Arabidopsis thaliana: one gene and its partners. The main gene of each other region encodes a partner of the protein of the gene in region 3 in a complex. Each region holds a gene or a part of one and is shown on either strand. Other genes may lie near its edges. The genes, in order: IDL2, CLE9, HSL1 and IDL3. A codon is read from its position in the direction of its gene.

The links.
Region 1: the proteins of HSL1 (region 3) and IDL2 are in contact, whole or in part, in a crystal structure (PDB 7OGQ), measured with the Arabidopsis thaliana proteins. Residues at the interface, in NP_174166.1 of Arabidopsis thaliana: Tyr92 (codon at 2,464), Asn93 (codon at 2,467), Gln117 (codon at 2,539), Thr140 (codon at 2,608), Val164 (codon at 2,680), Tyr165 (codon at 2,683), Tyr189 (codon at 2,755), Trp211 (codon at 2,821), Asp233 (codon at 2,887), Asp235 (codon at 2,893), Gln257 (codon at 2,959), Glu259 (codon at 2,965), Tyr261 (codon at 2,971), Leu281 (codon at 3,031), Asp283 (codon at 3,037), Ser285 (codon at 3,043), Met286 (codon at 3,046), Ser304 (codon at 3,100), Asn306 (codon at 3,106), Tyr308 (codon at 3,112), Glu309 (codon at 3,115), Glu328 (codon at 3,172), Arg330 (codon at 3,178), Phe332 (codon at 3,184), Asp354 (codon at 3,250), Ser356 (codon at 3,256), Glu357 (codon at 3,259), Glu376 (codon at 3,316), Leu378 (codon at 3,322), Ile380 (codon at 3,328); in NP_001078796.1 of Arabidopsis thaliana: Val73 (codon at 1,074), Pro74 (codon at 1,071), Ala75 (codon at 1,068), Ser76 (codon at 1,065), Gly77 (codon at 1,062), Pro78 (codon at 1,059), Ser79 (codon at 1,056), Arg80 (codon at 1,053), Lys81 (codon at 1,050), His82 (codon at 1,047), Asn83 (codon at 1,044).
Region 2: the proteins of HSL1 (region 3) and CLE9 are in contact, whole or in part, in a crystal structure (PDB 7OGU), measured with the Arabidopsis thaliana proteins. Residues at the interface, in NP_174166.1 of Arabidopsis thaliana: Val164 (codon at 2,680), Tyr165 (codon at 2,683), Tyr189 (codon at 2,755), Trp211 (codon at 2,821), Asp233 (codon at 2,887), Asp235 (codon at 2,893), Gln257 (codon at 2,959), Glu259 (codon at 2,965), Tyr261 (codon at 2,971), Leu281 (codon at 3,031), Leu282 (codon at 3,034), Asp283 (codon at 3,037), Met286 (codon at 3,046), Ser304 (codon at 3,100), Asn306 (codon at 3,106), Tyr308 (codon at 3,112), Glu328 (codon at 3,172), Arg330 (codon at 3,178), Phe332 (codon at 3,184), Asp354 (codon at 3,250), Ser356 (codon at 3,256), Glu376 (codon at 3,316), Leu378 (codon at 3,322), Ile380 (codon at 3,328), Arg400 (codon at 3,388), Arg402 (codon at 3,394); in NP_564251.1 of Arabidopsis thaliana: Arg109, Leu110, Val111, Pro112, Ser113, Gly114, Pro115, Asn116, Pro117, Leu118, His119, Asn120.
Region 4: the proteins of HSL1 (region 3) and IDL3 are in contact, whole or in part, in a crystal structure (PDB 7OGZ), measured with the Arabidopsis thaliana proteins. Residues at the interface, in NP_174166.1 of Arabidopsis thaliana: Tyr165 (codon at 2,683), Tyr189 (codon at 2,755), Trp211 (codon at 2,821), Asp233 (codon at 2,887), Asp235 (codon at 2,893), Gln257 (codon at 2,959), Glu259 (codon at 2,965), Tyr261 (codon at 2,971), Leu281 (codon at 3,031), Asp283 (codon at 3,037), Ser285 (codon at 3,043), Met286 (codon at 3,046), Ser304 (codon at 3,100), Asn306 (codon at 3,106), Tyr308 (codon at 3,112), Glu309 (codon at 3,115), Glu328 (codon at 3,172), Arg330 (codon at 3,178), Phe332 (codon at 3,184), Asp354 (codon at 3,250), Ser356 (codon at 3,256), Glu376 (codon at 3,316), Leu378 (codon at 3,322), Ile380 (codon at 3,328), Arg400 (codon at 3,388), Arg402 (codon at 3,394); in NP_001318520.1 of Arabidopsis thaliana: Pro79 (codon at 1,053), Pro81 (codon at 1,047), Thr82 (codon at 1,044), Ser83 (codon at 1,041), Gly84 (codon at 1,038), Pro85 (codon at 1,035), Ser86 (codon at 1,032), Arg87 (codon at 1,029), Lys88 (codon at 1,026), His89 (codon at 1,023), Asn90 (codon at 1,020).

What each region holds. Positions count from the first base shown.
Region 1 is NC_003076.8:25,848,581-25,852,086, reverse strand, and holds IDL2 (inflorescence deficient in abscission (IDA)-like 2), read right to left. Parts: upstream 1,579-3,506; 5' UTR 1,291-1,578; coding exon 1,003-1,290; 3' UTR 712-1,002; downstream 1-711. UniProt on the Arabidopsis thaliana protein: May be involved in floral abscission.
Region 2 is NC_003070.9:9,189,313-9,193,266, reverse strand, and holds CLE9 (CLAVATA3/ESR-RELATED 9), read right to left. Parts: upstream 1,765-3,954; 5' UTR 1,719-1,764; coding exon 1,221-1,718; 3' UTR 677-1,220; downstream 1-676. Other genes in the region: AT1G26590 (C2H2-like zinc finger protein), read right to left, coding at 2,558-3,659, 3,783-3,820.
Region 3 is NC_003070.9:9,994,724-10,001,383, forward strand, and holds HSL1 (HAESA-like 1), read left to right. Parts: upstream 1-1,989; 5' UTR 1,990-2,190; coding exon 2,191-4,777; intron 4,778-5,044; coding exon 5,045-5,448; 3' UTR 5,449-5,732; downstream 5,733-6,660.
Region 4 is NC_003076.8:3,045,163-3,048,504, reverse strand, and holds IDL3 (inflorescence deficient in abscission (IDA)-like 3), read right to left. Parts: upstream 1,495-3,342; 5' UTR 1,288-1,494; coding exon 988-1,287; 3' UTR 752-987; downstream 1-751. UniProt on the Arabidopsis thaliana protein: May be involved in floral abscission.

The DNA of each region.
Region 1 (3,506 bases), on a different chromosome or scaffold from region 3:
TTTGAACAACCGAACGTGATTAAAGAAGAAGAAGATAGATTTCGAGGTTTCAGAACTCATTACTCTTAACAAACATGTAATGATGAGTACTGTACTGTTAATTATAGCATTGATTATATTAAATAACTACGAAAAAAAAAGAGTACTCGATTGGTATTTTATTATCAAATAAATATGTAATTAGATCGGTTTATTTGTCTTTAAAAATGATCATTACGTATTTGTTTAAAATCAAGTGCAGTTCAATATCATACACTATATTTTAAAAATGTTTCTGTTTATCTTCTTCTATTGATCACACCTTTCTGATCTTATGTACCTATTGATGATCACCTTCCGGCATAAATGTCACGTTTAATGTCAAAATAAATTAAATGGCTATAGAATTAGATGCAACCTTGGTCCATCACATTGACAAATCACAATAGACATTTCAAAGACATTATTGGTTATCATTAAAACAAATCGATAGATCCCAAGAAAAAAGTCGATTATAAATCTCAAGACCATTCTACATCAGACTTTTTAGTTACACCATATATTTCAAACCTCTTTAAAGTTTAAAGATTTGATCTATTCTTTTACAAACACACATACAAATTAGTCCTTGTGATATAATATTCAAAGTCAATTTTCGAACTAATCATAAACTTTTTCAGATAGTTAAATTATTATTATAATAACAAGAACACGTGTATATCATGAGGATGATCGGCTCACACACTTTGATACGTGCAATATTACAAATTCGAGCTATCCAAAAAATAATACAACTTCCAATTACAATTTCATAATAATAAATCATATGTTTAGCCTTGTCGACATTAATCAAACAAAAATAACCATTTTCTTGGCATTACCAAAAAAAAATAAAATAAAAAACATTTACACCAACTTAAAACTCAAAAGCAAAGGGTAAAAGAGAGGAACCGGAATGAAAGAAACATATAACTAATTAAAAGAAAGAAAGAAAATAAAATTCAAGACCTTTCAAGCTTTTTCTCACGGAGAAGATCGATGCCAACTAAGTAAACCAATATCATTGTGTTTTCTGGAGGGACCAGAAGCTGGAACAGGGAAGTGACGTGGCAAGAACCCCAAGAACTGTTTAGTTGAAGAAGAAACGGCGTCGTTGTGCTTCTTGTGTGGTTTCGAGTTGAAGACGTTCGTGTTTGTTCTTGCTCCATTGCAGAAACCAAGAAGAAGAATGAGAAGAAGAAGAATGGTTCTAGTGAAGAAGGAGACGAAGAAACTAGAGGTGATTCTTGATCTTTGGTTTCGAGACGACATTGTTGAAGAAGAGAGGTTTTTTGTGGAAGGGTTTTTGGTGAATTTGTTCTAAATATAATTGTTGTGAAAGGACTTTATTTTTTGTTTGTTGTTGATGGGGAAAAAGGAGATTGCTGAATGAATTTGTTGACAGCAAGAAATATGGGCAGATGGAGATTGAGAGAGATAGATAGAGAGAGAATCTGACTAAGAAGAGGTTTTTGAGTTATGTTTTCGTGTGTATTTAATTACTTCTGATATATACTTTCTCTTTATTTTTTCACGAACTATTCAACTATGCAAGTAGTTGTAGACTTGTTGACAACTGGTTTTGGTCTACAAGCCGAAGAAACTGTTTGGTGGTAGATTTTTTTAGACTTATAATTGTTGATAGTTTAGGTTTATTGAAAAAATGTTGCAGGGCACAAATATTTACAGTTCTTAAATTATTAAGGCAAAATTTATGGTAACTAAGCACACAAAATGGTTGTAGACTTATTGTCATTAAGTGGTTTAGGTTAAAGGGGGAGTGTTTTTTACTTGACCCACATATGATCTGAAAAATTATAGGGAACGAAGATTTGTTTACTGAAAGGTATGGAAAGTTTTAATGAAATGCCGAGAAAATTAAACCAGAAACTTTTGATATCCTCCATATTCGTTGTCTTTCACTTTTATGCGAAAGTTATTAGAGTAATGAAAACATCCCATTAGTTTTCATCATATTCATCAAAAACACTAACGATAGTCGATAGCTCGCTTAAGATTTATATATTTCAAAACAAATTATCTTATGGAAATGGAGACAAGACGTTTGTACGGCGCAATAATGTGTTTTTCTCTTGTCAACAGTTGCATAGAATTATTCTCTTTTGCTTTGTATTTTCGACACAACTAACATAGTAATTTTAAAGCTATAGTGCTTTGGGAGGGATTATCGTAAAACTCTTGCTTAACAAGACTATTTATAAAATTGGAAAGTTCAACATTTACTTGCATGAAATTTTGAAATCACCTGTTTTCAGTAAGGTTTGAGGTTTTATAATTTTAAAATATGATTTTACAAAATAGTCCAGTTATTACATTACACATATAATCTTTCTGGTGGATAAGTTTAACATTACAAAAAATAAAAATCCAATTAATTAGTTGACTATAACCTCTGGTATATAATAATTTTCTATAATATTGACAAAAACAAAGGAAATAAAAAGATTATATAACAAATAAAGATAGATTCGTTTGTTTCTTCAAATGCCTTGGATGCAAGGTTTCATGTCACCTATGTTCAATGAATAAGAAAGAACGGAGAAAGTGGGCAAAGAGAAAATATTAATACAAAGTGATATGGTAAGGTAAAGCCTTTTCTATGTTATGTCAAGACTCAAAACTTTATATAATTTTATAGTTTTTTTGTTAGGAGAAAATATGACAGGCCCCAGTCTAAATATAGTGACCGATTATAATTATGTCACAACATTGCGACTATTCAATCTTTATTGCGAAATCTTCCTCAATTTAAGCTACTTCAAATGCATATATGTTACCATATTTTGTGTAGACACACGTATGCACACAGTCCATATATCAATCACCGTTCTTGCCATTTCAATCTCTTATCTAAGCTTTTTCCATTAGAGTTAATTAGAGTTCTTCATTCAATGCAACCTCTTCCCAACACTTATACGGTTTTACCATTTTTCATCCACTTTTGTAAAAGGAAATCTAATAAATGAAATTCAGAGCCATAAGTCTACTTGGCATACAAATTACAAAAGATTAATGGACATATATACAACAGACCAAATAGTATGTGATCTATTGAGTTACAAATTAATTAAAATTTGCTTTCAAAATTTTATTTCTTGGTTAACGTACATGACAAAGGTCAGAATAAATGATTATTAGACCTGATACCTTGTAATAGTTATCTTTTATGGAAATTAAATTAAAAACATTTCAATGAGTATGGAGTAAAATGACTCTTATTGTCCCAATATTATGAGAAGAAGTACACGAACAGAAAGTAAACTAAAATAGAAGAGTCTTGGTAATGTCAGGAACAACAGTTGAAATCTAAAGTTGGTCTAAGTCCCATACCTTTCTCTACTATTTCAAACACTGACTACGTCTTAGCTACCCTATTACAAATCTAGCAACCGTACTTCTCCATTATTATTTCATTCTTTTATTTGAAATAGTGTTTCAAAATTATTTTATTTTAGGCCAACACGAAA
Region 2 (3,954 bases), 810 kb from region 3:
ATTTTAGTCTGTTTTTGGATAAAAGCAACCAAATAAAGAATGCAAGAAAGTAATTAGCTAACTAAGCAACAAAAAAAAAAAAGATTAGTAGATCCGACACATTTTAGCTGAATCCATCATTTTGTTGCGAGTAGACCGGTCCGGTCCAGAGATTTTGAAAGGCTCTAAACCCAAAAAGTGATATGTACTAGATAAAATACTCGAAATTCACAAGTTACAAACAAAAATTATAACTTTTTCTGATTCATCTTATACCAAAAATGCATTCAAGTTATTTCTATTTTACTCTATAAAGATTATTTTTTTCCCCTCCAATTTTGCTTCTTGTTTCCTTTTCTGTTTTGCCAGGCTTGCACTATATTCATCATCTCATCTTAAAACACTTTTATCCCATAAATTTGGCGATAAACATTAAGATATATACATTTTCTTTCATAACTTTCCTTTTCATAAAGAGTAATAAATAATATTTTCTACAACTTATAATCCGTTGATTAAATCGGATGATAACACGTACATGGTGGACGGTGCCACATTTGTAAAAATGAGTAGACATAAAAAATTTGGCTGGCAAAATGATAAAGGAAAATCTGGTTGGCAAAATTATAAATAAAAGTTTCTATATTTGCAAAGTTTTTACTATTGTCTATTGACAGAGACAAGCGAAATAAATATCTTTACAGCGAAATATCACACGAAAGAGAAGAACATAACATATATATGCCCCATCAACCTTTTTAAATTTTTATTGATAGACCAATGGAAACTTTAGAGTTACATAAATACAGCTCCCAAATTAATGGAGCTCATGCGTTTCTTCACCTCTCCTCTCCCAACCATACTAAATCTTTTTTTCTCCTTTCGCTTTCAAAACTATAATTTATCATTTTCTCATTAGAAAAACAAAAGAAAGTCCCTTGCAAAAATACACTATTTCCAAGATTGTTTTCACACTACAAAGCCCAAAAACAAGCGTGGAAATAGCTTAGTTACAATATTACCATAACGCAAGACTCCATTACAAGATCAAGAAAGTAGAAATAAGAAATTTCCGCAAAGAAGACCAAGAAGAACTAACGAACCATCTTCTTGGGCCAAAATAACTCTAGCTATAAAGTACACAAATCTCTCTCGAACAAATCCGAGAAACGAGTTAAATTAGAAAATATGTGACAAATGTTTCTGTATATATGTATGTATAGAAACTTGAGGATATGGTTTTAGTTGTGAAGCGGGTTTGGACCAGAGGGGACGAGTCTTTTGTCGACGCCGTACCTTGGATCAATCTCCGGAGGAGGAGGAGAAAGAAGTGGCTGCTTCCGACTGCTACGGTGGATTCTCTGAAGCTCAATGCACATAGAACGCGCGTAAGGACGAATGAAGGAATCACACGAACGGTGAGGAGTCACGTGGTAAGGGTGGTGGTTAAACCTCGGAACGAATCGGTGCGTTCGGTAACGGAAGTTTCTTGATGTTCTGTTTCCTTCGTCGACGACGGTTGAAGAAGCGGTGGAGGATTTGAGAAGTAAAGAGACGAAGAGAAGAGAGATCAAGATCAGACGATTCAGGTGAGTCATCGTCATTGTTTTGGTTTCCAAGAGAGAGCGAGAGAGAGAAAGTGAGAAGTGGTCTTGGAGAAGAAGAAGTTTAAAATCGAGAGAGGGAAGATATTTGGTGGAAGCAAATTGGGATATAAATGCAACACAGAAGAAGCACATGAATCGATGTTATGACGGTTAGTTTTAGTAAATGAGAGGGCAAAACTGGTTATACAAAAAAAAGTGGGTCCTTCGCTTAGTTCGTTTTCATTGACATAAATACCAACCCGTGAACTTTATTATATACATTTCGATCCTAGATTTATTTCACTTTCTTTAGCTTTTTCATACAATACGTTATACGTACAAAATAATGGGTTTATGTAGTAATTACGTACACAAGATAAACAAGAACGTGTATTTGAGTGGTTTCGTGACTCTCAAGTTAACTCCTGGGTCTTTATCGGCTTCTATAGTTTAAAGGCCTTAACAGGCCCAATAGGAGTCTATCTAAACCCAACTACCTATAAATTAGTAAAGTTACCAAATTTGGGATTTATTTATTTTGCTTTTCCTCCTTTCAATTGAATCAACAACTTTAACTTGAACACAACTCTCTCCCTTTTTATGTTAGAACCAAAACATCATCATAAAAGCAATAGACAATGGCTCTTGTAGTCTTGACTTTGATTGTGCTAATATGAATACAGAGGAAGTCTTATAGGTGAAAGCTCGAAAAAGGAAAAAAAAACTTTAAAAGTAACAGCTTTCTTTGAAGACAAGAAGAATGAATCTCAGTAATCAGTAAGAAACATGAAAGGTCCCTAAAAAGCTGAAGATAATATATACATCAATACTTGAGTTCATAAAGCAAAGAATTGGCTCTAAGTGATAAGCAAACTTTATATGAACAAATCAAAAAAAACTTTTGATCTAGTTCTAAAATGTGGAGCAAAGAAAACAAACAAAAAGTGGGGATGAAATACTATCAGAGAGAACTATAGTTCTCAGGTTCTGATTCATTCATCAGTATCCGAAACAGGAAGATAGAGATCGATTTGGTTACGCATTTCAGCTGCGTGGTTTGCAATGGAATGTGATCTCTTGTGACCACCTAAAGCTTGGCCTGATTTGAACATCCTGAAGCAAATTGGGCACTCATGACCTTTGCTCTTCACCTTCTCACCACCTTCTTTCTTAACCATTGAGGATTTGCTATCTTTGAACCTATGATGAATCTTGCTGTTTGTGTCTGCACATGAATCAGTTTCATAAGAAAACAAGGCTCTCTTGCTTTTGCTCAGCTCATACTTTGTTCCTCCCTCATTACTATTCCTGAACCTGATCAATGAGTTGTTGAATCCAGATCCAAATCCAGTGTTCCTGTCAACAGAAATGTCTGACTCCGACTTACTTGGACCATTCATGAAGTAATCAGAATCAGAGCCATCTGAATCACAGAGACTAACTCCATCATCATCAGCAGATCTCCATTGGTCATCTACTGCATTCTTCACATTCATGATCTTAAACTCATCCCCTGAAGATGACTTATTCTCAACAATCGCAGAGTTGTTGTCAGATGACTCACCAAGAGAATTCATCACCATGTTACGTCTTTTCTTGAAACTACTAGAATCACTCGACAACATCATCAAATTATAAGCCCCATCCCTACGTTCTTGGTCAATCTCAGAACCAAAAGACGAGCTCCCATTACTCAAAGATTCAGAATTTGATTGTTTCATGACCACCCTCTTGGATCTTTTCCTCATAGGAGCTGAGGAAGTCTCACTTTCAGTATCAGATTGGCTATTATCATCCATCAACATCTTCTTTACCTCACCGTGACAAGCCATGTGACCTCTAAGAGCTTTCAAAGAAACGAACACTCTACCACATTCTCTGCAACCAACTTGTTGTTGTTGCTTATGTTTCTGAGCCATCATCTTTCTCTGATCCACCAACCTCTTCTTCTTATTGCCATTGTAACCAACTGAATTCTCGTTCGTATGAATTCTAATGTGACCACCGAGTGCTTTCCCAGAAGGAAACGTCTTGTAACAGTACTTGCACAAAAACGAATTCTCTTTCCCTTCCTCCATTTGAAAATTTGACCTTCTTCTCTTAGACAAATGATCAAACAGCAAACAAGCAAGAAAGAATCAATAAAGGTTTCTCCTTTACACACGAAATCGAAAGAAGTAAAGAACCCATTTTTAATATCTGATGAGTTTAGTTTACCTCAAATCAAAATCTATGAATGAAGACGAGTGCTGCATAAACCGACAAAACTGATACAGAGAAGAAAAGAGAATAAAGAAGCAGCAAGTTTGATGCTTTTTTTCTTTCTTGTAATCAGATTCAGAGATGTGACAGTTTCTCTGTATAGCTAAGTACAAGATCCGAACTTCAA
Region 3 (6,660 bases):
TTGCTTGCTTGTACACAATACTCGTAACAAATTAATAGTTCTATTAAATAATTCCAAAGTGACAATGTTATGAAACTATAAGAGGACATCAATCACACGTAATGGAAACTTGATTAACTAAGTAATGAAATTAAAAATATAAACAAAACTAATTTGACGGTTTCTTTCAATCAACTAGCTAGCAACAATTTGTAGGATGAAAGAGACTTTGCTTATAACAATCTCATAAGACAGAGATTTGTAGCTATTGTAGTGTACGTAATTTCTTAAATGTCTATCTTATAGGATACAAGTGTCGAACTCCGTTTAGTGTACCCTAATTTTTTTTTGACAACTTGTATTGTGTGTTTCACAGAAACTATTAGAAACACGAAGAAGAGAAGACTGCTTGGAATCAATCTATCTCCAAAATTTCACTCATCTATCTCTTTAAATATCATTCAAATGGTATGTTGATTAAAGTGATGCTTTTCTCAACCGATACATATGTTAGAACATACGTTTTCTAACTAACATATATGTAGGCAAAATTTGTGTTGTTCTTTTATGAGTTTATTATTTTGTTAAATTAAGATTAACTAAAATAAAATCAAATTCCAACTGATAAACTAAGATTGAGATTATGATAGTAAACGTAACAATTCTCATAATGTAACGGGCATGAAATCCAAATCGTAAGAAAATAAAAACAAAAATAGATAACAATTTTTTTTAACTGGATTCAACAATGTATTCACGTCCTCAAAAACAAAATTCTTGAACACAAGTACAGTTAGTGCAACTCTTTTTCACATCCTACAAAATAATTTACGATTTCGTTTAGCCGTAACAACTTATGAAAACCAAGTTGTGAGAATAAGAACAAAGTGTACACACAGTTTGTTTTTCACAATACATTATTTTACGTCTTCCAATTTTGTTGCATATCAACCTAAAATTTAAAAACCATAAAGAACTCTTATTCGACTCGAATACTTTTTTAAGACTATGACATCTCTAAGATAAGCAATACTCATGACTCTCGCTTGAGAAGTGCATTCTCATATTGACTACACCATTAGGCAATATGTTTCCTAACGTTTAACCATACAAGTTTGTCCCCCTCTTTCCCTTTGCAATACTAATTAGTATAACAAATTTCATTAGAGAATGTTTAATTTCATAAATATCTCAATATTTTGATATCTTATCCTATCTTCCATATTTTCTTTGCATTTTTTGTAAATAACTACATATTATTATCTTCAAAAATGAATTTCACATTTCAACAAAATAAAATATTTTCATGTTTCTACATGCATGCTAGTTTATTCTCTTAATAGTTGATACAATATTCCTAATACTCTTTAAGACGTGCATAAACTTTTTAAAATTGAATGATAATTAATTTAATTCACATCGACTTTAGACTACGTTCCAAGTAAACTTCCAACACATTCTGTTTTTTTTTTTTTTGATATGTTCTAACAATATTTGTACTTTACTACTTTACAAACGCCGATAATAAATAAAACTGTCGGAATATATCTCATTCCATCTCCAAAAAAAAAAAAAAAAAAAAATCAGATATCTACATTTCAAAATTAATGTTTACCGTACCTTCTTTTCACCTTGCAATTTTTTTAAAATGCACATTTACTCTACTAACTAACTTTTCATTTACATTAAAAACATATATAATGAAATCAAATTTGTATGCAAATTCCATATATATTATAAAGCTAAAATTATTTAATTGAAAATTTACAATCTTATCGTCTCCTACATAACTAATTTAAAAACAGTTGCATTCTCTTAAACAACAAAGTACAAAAAAAGAATGTTTCCTTCCATATGGCTATTTAGCTAGATCATCATTATTAGTAACATTCTCTTTTATAATCAGATAAACACAGGATAATTATACAATGTTGGAAACTCGACATAGATACTAATAATTGCAAACAAATAATTAGAGAGAATCGTTATAGAAAACAAAAACAAAATAAATGATAGTAGAAAAACAAATGATTTTTATAGCATTCACAGTCAGAGTCACGATAATTCACCTGTCTCCGGTCAACGCTTTTTATAGACTCTCTTCTTCTCTTCCTTCAAAGCACTCTCTCACAAACACTCTCTTCTTCATACTCTCTTATCTCTCTCTCTTTCTTCAACCACCGTCATAGATACCGGGGAAGACGAAGAAACATGTATCTTCTCTTTCTCTTCTTACTTTTCCCCACCGTCTTCTCTCTTAACCAAGACGGTTTCATTCTTCAACAAGTCAAGCTCTCGTTAGACGACCCAGACTCATATCTCTCTTCCTGGAACTCCAACGATGCTTCTCCTTGTCGGTGGTCCGGCGTTTCCTGCGCCGGTGATTTCTCCTCCGTCACTTCCGTAGACCTCTCCAGCGCTAATCTCGCCGGACCTTTTCCTTCAGTCATTTGTCGTCTCTCTAATCTGGCTCATCTCTCTTTGTACAATAACTCCATCAACTCTACTCTTCCTCTCAACATCGCTGCTTGTAAGAGTCTTCAAACTCTCGATCTCTCTCAGAATCTACTCACCGGTGAGCTTCCACAAACTCTTGCCGATATTCCGACTTTGGTTCACTTAGATTTGACCGGTAACAACTTTTCCGGTGACATTCCGGCGAGTTTCGGCAAATTCGAAAACCTAGAGGTTCTTTCTCTTGTTTACAATCTCTTAGACGGTACGATTCCTCCGTTTCTCGGCAACATCAGCACGTTGAAGATGCTGAATCTTTCGTATAACCCCTTTAGTCCGAGTCGGATCCCGCCGGAGTTCGGGAACTTGACGAATCTCGAGGTTATGTGGCTCACTGAGTGTCATTTAGTCGGACAGATCCCTGACTCGCTGGGTCAACTCAGTAAACTCGTTGATTTAGACCTTGCGCTCAACGACCTTGTAGGTCATATTCCTCCTTCGCTCGGTGGTTTGACTAACGTCGTTCAGATTGAGCTGTACAACAACTCGTTGACCGGAGAGATTCCACCGGAGCTCGGGAATTTGAAATCGTTGAGACTTCTCGACGCGTCGATGAATCAGTTAACCGGGAAAATACCGGACGAGCTTTGCCGTGTGCCGTTGGAGAGTTTGAATCTCTACGAGAACAATCTAGAAGGTGAGCTTCCGGCGAGTATAGCGTTATCTCCGAACTTGTACGAGATTAGAATATTCGGAAACCGGTTAACCGGTGGATTACCAAAAGACCTCGGTCTAAACTCGCCGTTGAGATGGTTGGATGTTTCGGAAAACGAATTTTCCGGCGACTTACCGGCGGATCTGTGTGCGAAAGGAGAGCTAGAGGAGTTGTTGATTATACACAATTCCTTCTCCGGCGTTATACCGGAGAGTCTCGCCGATTGCAGGAGCTTGACACGTATCCGGTTAGCTTATAACCGGTTTTCCGGTTCAGTTCCTACAGGTTTCTGGGGATTGCCTCATGTTAACTTGCTTGAGCTCGTCAACAACTCGTTCTCCGGTGAAATTTCGAAGTCCATTGGAGGTGCTTCAAATCTCTCGCTGTTGATTCTCTCCAACAATGAATTCACCGGATCTTTGCCGGAGGAAATTGGTTCTTTGGATAATCTTAATCAGTTGTCGGCAAGTGGGAACAAGTTCAGTGGCTCGTTGCCTGATAGCTTGATGAGTCTTGGAGAATTAGGTACTCTTGATCTTCATGGTAATCAGTTTTCAGGAGAGTTAACTTCTGGAATCAAATCTTGGAAGAAGCTCAACGAGTTAAACTTAGCCGATAACGAATTCACCGGTAAAATTCCAGATGAAATCGGGAGTTTGTCAGTATTGAACTATCTTGATCTTTCTGGTAACATGTTCTCTGGCAAGATCCCGGTTTCATTGCAGAGTTTGAAGCTAAACCAGCTGAATCTGTCTTATAACCGGTTATCGGGTGACTTACCGCCTTCTTTAGCGAAAGATATGTATAAGAATAGCTTCATTGGGAACCCGGGATTGTGTGGGGATATCAAGGGATTGTGTGGCTCTGAGAATGAAGCTAAGAAGAGAGGCTATGTATGGCTTCTTAGATCGATTTTCGTACTTGCTGCGATGGTGCTTCTTGCGGGTGTTGCTTGGTTCTACTTCAAGTACAGGACTTTCAAGAAAGCAAGAGCCATGGAGAGATCTAAGTGGACTCTAATGTCGTTCCACAAACTCGGGTTCAGTGAGCATGAGATTCTTGAAAGCTTGGATGAAGATAATGTGATTGGAGCTGGAGCTTCAGGTAAAGTTTACAAGGTTGTACTCACCAATGGGGAAACTGTTGCGGTTAAGCGTTTATGGACAGGTTCTGTTAAGGAAACTGGAGATTGTGATCCAGAGAAAGGTTACAAACCTGGAGTTCAAGATGAGGCTTTTGAAGCTGAAGTTGAGACATTGGGTAAGATTAGGCATAAGAACATTGTGAAGCTATGGTGTTGCTGTTCTACAAGAGACTGCAAGCTCTTGGTTTATGAGTACATGCCTAATGGTAGTTTGGGAGATTTGCTTCATAGCAGTAAAGGAGGAATGTTGGGATGGCAAACGAGGTTTAAGATTATCTTAGATGCGGCTGAGGGGCTTTCGTATCTTCACCATGATTCTGTTCCTCCGATTGTGCATAGAGATATTAAGTCAAACAATATTTTGATCGATGGAGATTATGGTGCAAGAGTTGCTGATTTTGGTGTGGCTAAAGCTGTCGACTTGACCGGAAAAGCTCCTAAATCGATGTCAGTGATCGCTGGTTCATGCGGTTATATCGCACCAGGTTAGTCTTATGATTCAAGTTAAATGTGCTTTGTTTAATCAACAGTTTTGCTTAAGGTAATAATGCTCATTTGGTACATGTTGCACGGAGATTCAGATGAACCACATTTAAGTTTTATTAGTTGAGACTTAAATGAGCATTCACTATCTATTGAGACATGTCTGAAACCATGGCTCCACAACTTCTCACTTGTCCATTAATGGAATTTGAAACTTTTTGTTTGTTTGTCTGTTTCCCTCCATAACTTTCATTTCAAACTTCTTGCAGAATACGCATATACGCTTCGTGTGAACGAGAAAAGCGACATCTACAGTTTCGGGGTAGTGATCCTTGAGATAGTAACTAGGAAACGCCCGGTTGATCCAGAACTTGGGGAGAAGGATTTGGTGAAGTGGGTTTGCTCTACATTGGACCAAAAAGGCATAGAGCATGTGATAGACCCGAAACTCGACTCTTGTTTCAAAGAAGAGATAAGCAAAATCCTCAACGTTGGACTCCTCTGCACGAGTCCGTTGCCCATTAACCGACCTTCCATGAGGCGTGTGGTTAAGATGTTGCAAGAAATTGGTGGTGGAGACGAAGATAGCCTACACAAGATAAGAGATGACAAGGATGGCAAGTTAACACCTTATTACAACGAAGACACCTCAGACCAAGGAAGTATAGCTTGAGACACAAATGGAGAAAGAAAAGTGTTTTGCCCAAAAAAGCTCTCTCAATTTTTGGTGCTTGAAGCTGTCAATTTAGGGCATTGAATCAAGATTCTCTCACCCCTTTTTAGGGTTTTGATCTAAAAGTGAGAATCAGAGATTGTCGAAATTTTTATAATATATATAAAGAAGTTTCTAATTCAGCGTTTCAGTTTCTCCACTGTATAAAGCTATTAGTAAACTCTGGTTTTGTAAGAGTTTTTATCTTTGGTAAATGCAAATGAAAAAGTTGCGATCTTTCTGGCGTTAACATGCATTTAAATAGTTTCCATATTTGGGTAAACAGATTCAAGGTTCGTGTAGGAACATGTCTATCTGAATCTTTTAAAGCATTAGGCTCTCTCTCTCTCTCTCGTTTTTAGTGAACTCTTGGAGGCTCGTGTACAGTTTGATGTCACTGTAGATTCACATGTCTCTTAAATTCTCAACTTTTTCAAACCAACTTTTCTATTATTATTTATAATTTCAGGTTGTGTTATTTCCTTTACTTACTCTCTCCGTACACGAGCATGAACATCAGACTTGGCACATGAAATGACTAATATCAACCTTCCTGCGAAAAGATCTCTAACTTTTAGTTACTTGTGTGAAGTCTAGTATCTATAATAAACAACGTATGTTTTTTTGACAGTCATTCTTTAAAACATGATATTCTTGGAGTTCGAGAACTATTTGTAAGAAAGATATAATTCCAAAAAGAGAAAAAGAATTAGTTAAGTCATGTAAATCGACCGGTAGTGATTAGGTAAACGTTTAACTTCCTAATTGCAATTAAGTAACGACATTAAAAACTAAAGAGATAACTTCTATTATTGTTGAGTATAAAACAAATCCAAAACAAAAACATTGACATCTCAACATTAGCTAAGCTTTATCATCTAACTAGAGAATTTTACATTAAGGTTACATAAATAGGGTGAGAATCTAAATATGAGCTGTTGGGTGAGGAAATTAAAAGTGGGTCCAATAAGCATTGAAGCCAGCCCACATTGTTATCATTCAATTCAAGGGACATAGACACCTCACCTTCATCTTTTGCCTTGTCTCTCTGTCTCTTTCACTCTCTAAATCATTTCTCAATTTTGTTTTCTTTGTTTTTGCATTTCCTTTTTGTTTATTTTTTTCAACTTGTTGCATGATGAGGTTTCATAGAGATTCCACATAACATGTTTG
Region 4 (3,342 bases), on a different chromosome or scaffold from region 3:
TATTGAAACAAAAATTAAACAAAAAGATACATCCAAAGTAATCAACTATGTATATAAGTCCAATCTTAATCACACGTTTTAGTTAGAACATATACCTTTCAATCTTTCATTCCTTCTTATTTTAAAGAAATGACAATTCTTTTACGCACGAACACACATTATTTGTATTTGTCAATGTCCATATATTATGGGATAATGTTTATCTTAAAATACCATATATTTTCTCTATGCATGTCCGAATAACCCGAGGTATTTAAACACCAACTCAAATACTAGTATATGTAGAATAACCTTCTATTTGTTATTACCATAACTTATAAGAAGAGAGTGGATATAAAATATTGAAATCACTACTCGGCTTATATCCATCAATATTCTACCAAACAGATGTAGCCTAAATTGATCGGGACTTGTATATATCTCAACAATTATCATTATGTCCGTAATAATCCACGATTAGGATACAGTGAACATATGATATATAATTTCATATATATCAAATTAGAAGACGGAAAATAAAAAGAACAATAATTGTTTAATTAGAAACCGACCCTTCTATCCTCGGCTCTTGTACACTTAGAGTAGACAACTTTTTATATATGTTTTTAGTATAAATAAATAATAAAATTAAAGACATTTCACTTTTGTTGTGTATAAAGTGTCTTTAGGAAGACACAAATCTCAAATTAAAGACATTCATTATTTTATTATTATTATTTTTTATAGTTTTATATTTAAAGACATGTATAAATAACCACCAATGTGGATGCTCTTACGTACTTGCAATATTTCAATGGATCAAACAAGTTCCAATATTAAACTAAAAAATTTGATCGTATCCACAGCATTGCCCATAAATAAATCAAACTGAAATCTATTTACATCAGTTTGAACCAAATTCAAAAGGGGCAAAAACTAAAACAAAAAAAACTTACAGAAGTAAAAAGGATGATTCATTAATCAAACCTTTGAACTACAAGGTGAAGATTAAGTCTTAGTACTACTTAAACCGATTTCGTTATGTTTTCTGGAAGGACCAGAAGTTGGAACCGGAAACTGACGTGGCAGGGACCCCAAGAACTGTACACTTTTGTGATCTTGTACTTGATGATGGACATGATCATGAGGTGGCGAAACGACGTCCTTTTGTTTGGGTGGCGAGCTTGTGTTGAAGACGTTCGTGGTTCTTGCTCCATTGCAGCAACTCAAAAGGACAAGAAGAAGAACAAGAATAGGAATTGTTCTCGTGAGTTGATATTTTCTTGATCGGTGGCTTCGAGAAGACATTGGTGTAAATTGGGAGAGTGAATAGAGAGAGATGGAGGGAGGGAAGTGATTTTTGTTTGAAGGAGTTTTGGGTGGAAGTATTTAATATTTAAAAGGTTTTATTTTTTTGTTGATGGGTGATTGAATGAAAAAGAGAAGGCTGTGAATTGTTGACAGCTAGAAATATGGGCACATCAAGAGAGAGAGATTTTGATTGGAAAGATGTTGACTTATGGTTCTATTTGTATGTTTCTTTTTATTTACTCATATGGTTCTATTCTTATCTCTCTTATTAAGGAAAACCATGCACTAAACCTAAATCTAGTTAATCATGGATATTTACGTAGTAATTACATTATTCAAAACATACTAAATCAAATTGGAGACACAAGATGTTTTACCCCTATACTACCTTCACTTGAGTTTAAATTAACTATTTCTGAACATGATCTCATATTGGAATGCGTAAAAAACGTTGTTGGGCAAAAACAATAACGTCTCTTCATAGCTCTTGATATGACCCACAAGACAAAAAAAGTTGGAGGAAGACTCCTTTATAGCTGTCTTTAATTAGGTTCACGTATAAGTACTATTGCATATTTATGATATTTCTAATTTTGCGTTTGAAATAACATGTATTATGTGGGTTTGACCATGTCTGATCATATAATAACGGTTTTAGCATTGACCATTAGGATTACAGGTTATTAACATTGTCAAGATTTTTAGTTTACTTTCAATTTAAAATACATTTCACATTTGTTTCTATAATATATTATCAATTAATCCTCTCTGTGGAGTGAAAGTGAGAGGGGACAAAGAGAAGAAAACGAAAGAAAAATAATTAGTGGTGGGTCAAGGTCAAGCCTTTTCATTTCATGTTATGTGAAAAAAATATAATTCATATTACTTGACGACAAAATAAAATAATTTCATATCAGTTTGATAATACTATAGTGTATTCTATCCTTGCAATCTCTTACAATTGATTGAGCAAACCACGCGCATATGCATAAAAAAGTTTCTATATTTCCTAGATCTATCCTTTACGTAAAACAAGTTCGAGCTAAAACGTAACGTGACTTAACGACCAGGCAATACAACTACTGCACCGCAAGACCGGATCAACCAATTCTAAATTTTAGTCATCATCAAGACATCAACTTTTTATTTCTTGGACATCTTCCTTAACGTAATCATCAACTTAAAGACCGTAGCTTTAGTGGACACTTTTGAGTTGCATCCTCTTTTGCGGCATATATATTGAAGGCAGAGAATAATGACGATGAGACCCCTTTGTACGAACAAGATGTCAGAACTTAGAAGAACGAAGGAAACCGAACATAAAAGGCAACAACAGTAGTTGTGTCAGAACAACAACAGTAAATGAGATGTAAAAGCTTGTCCAGGCTAGTTCCTTAGCGTTACTGTAACAACACTGTTGAAAATATACGAGTATAAAATAGTACTATTACAAATTACAACCAAAGCGATTTTCGTGCTAATTACCGACCATCTGTTCATACACGTTTTTTTTTTTTTTTTTACCGACCATCTGTTCATACACGTTTTCTCCAATGCATCATTCTCATTGATTTTTTTTTTTTATTGTCACAGTATTTTTTTGTAATCCGAAAGGTTAAATGCTTCTCTCTAAAGTTTAGTGACTTTTGCAATACAATTACCCTCCGCCAAAAACTTAAGCGCAATTCTTCACTAAAAGAAACGTTATTTCATTGCAATCGCACTACATTTACATATATAATATAAACACGATCATAAAGATAACAAATGCGATGAGGCTCATACCAAAAAAACATAAAAAGTGCGATGAGGTTATAGCATAACGATAACTCGCCTTCTTTCTTTATTTGTTTTCTATGTATTGACATAGAAAAAGAGGAGTAAATTTAATGGGCCTCTGATTCGCAAAATAATAATAAATGACTAAGCCTACGAACGATGGTTTGGGTTACATACAAGGCCCATACACGAGCCTGGACTGTCACATTCACATAACCGAGTAGTAGTTTACTCTTGATGTCATTGACACTTTGTCGCTAAGGTAATCGATAA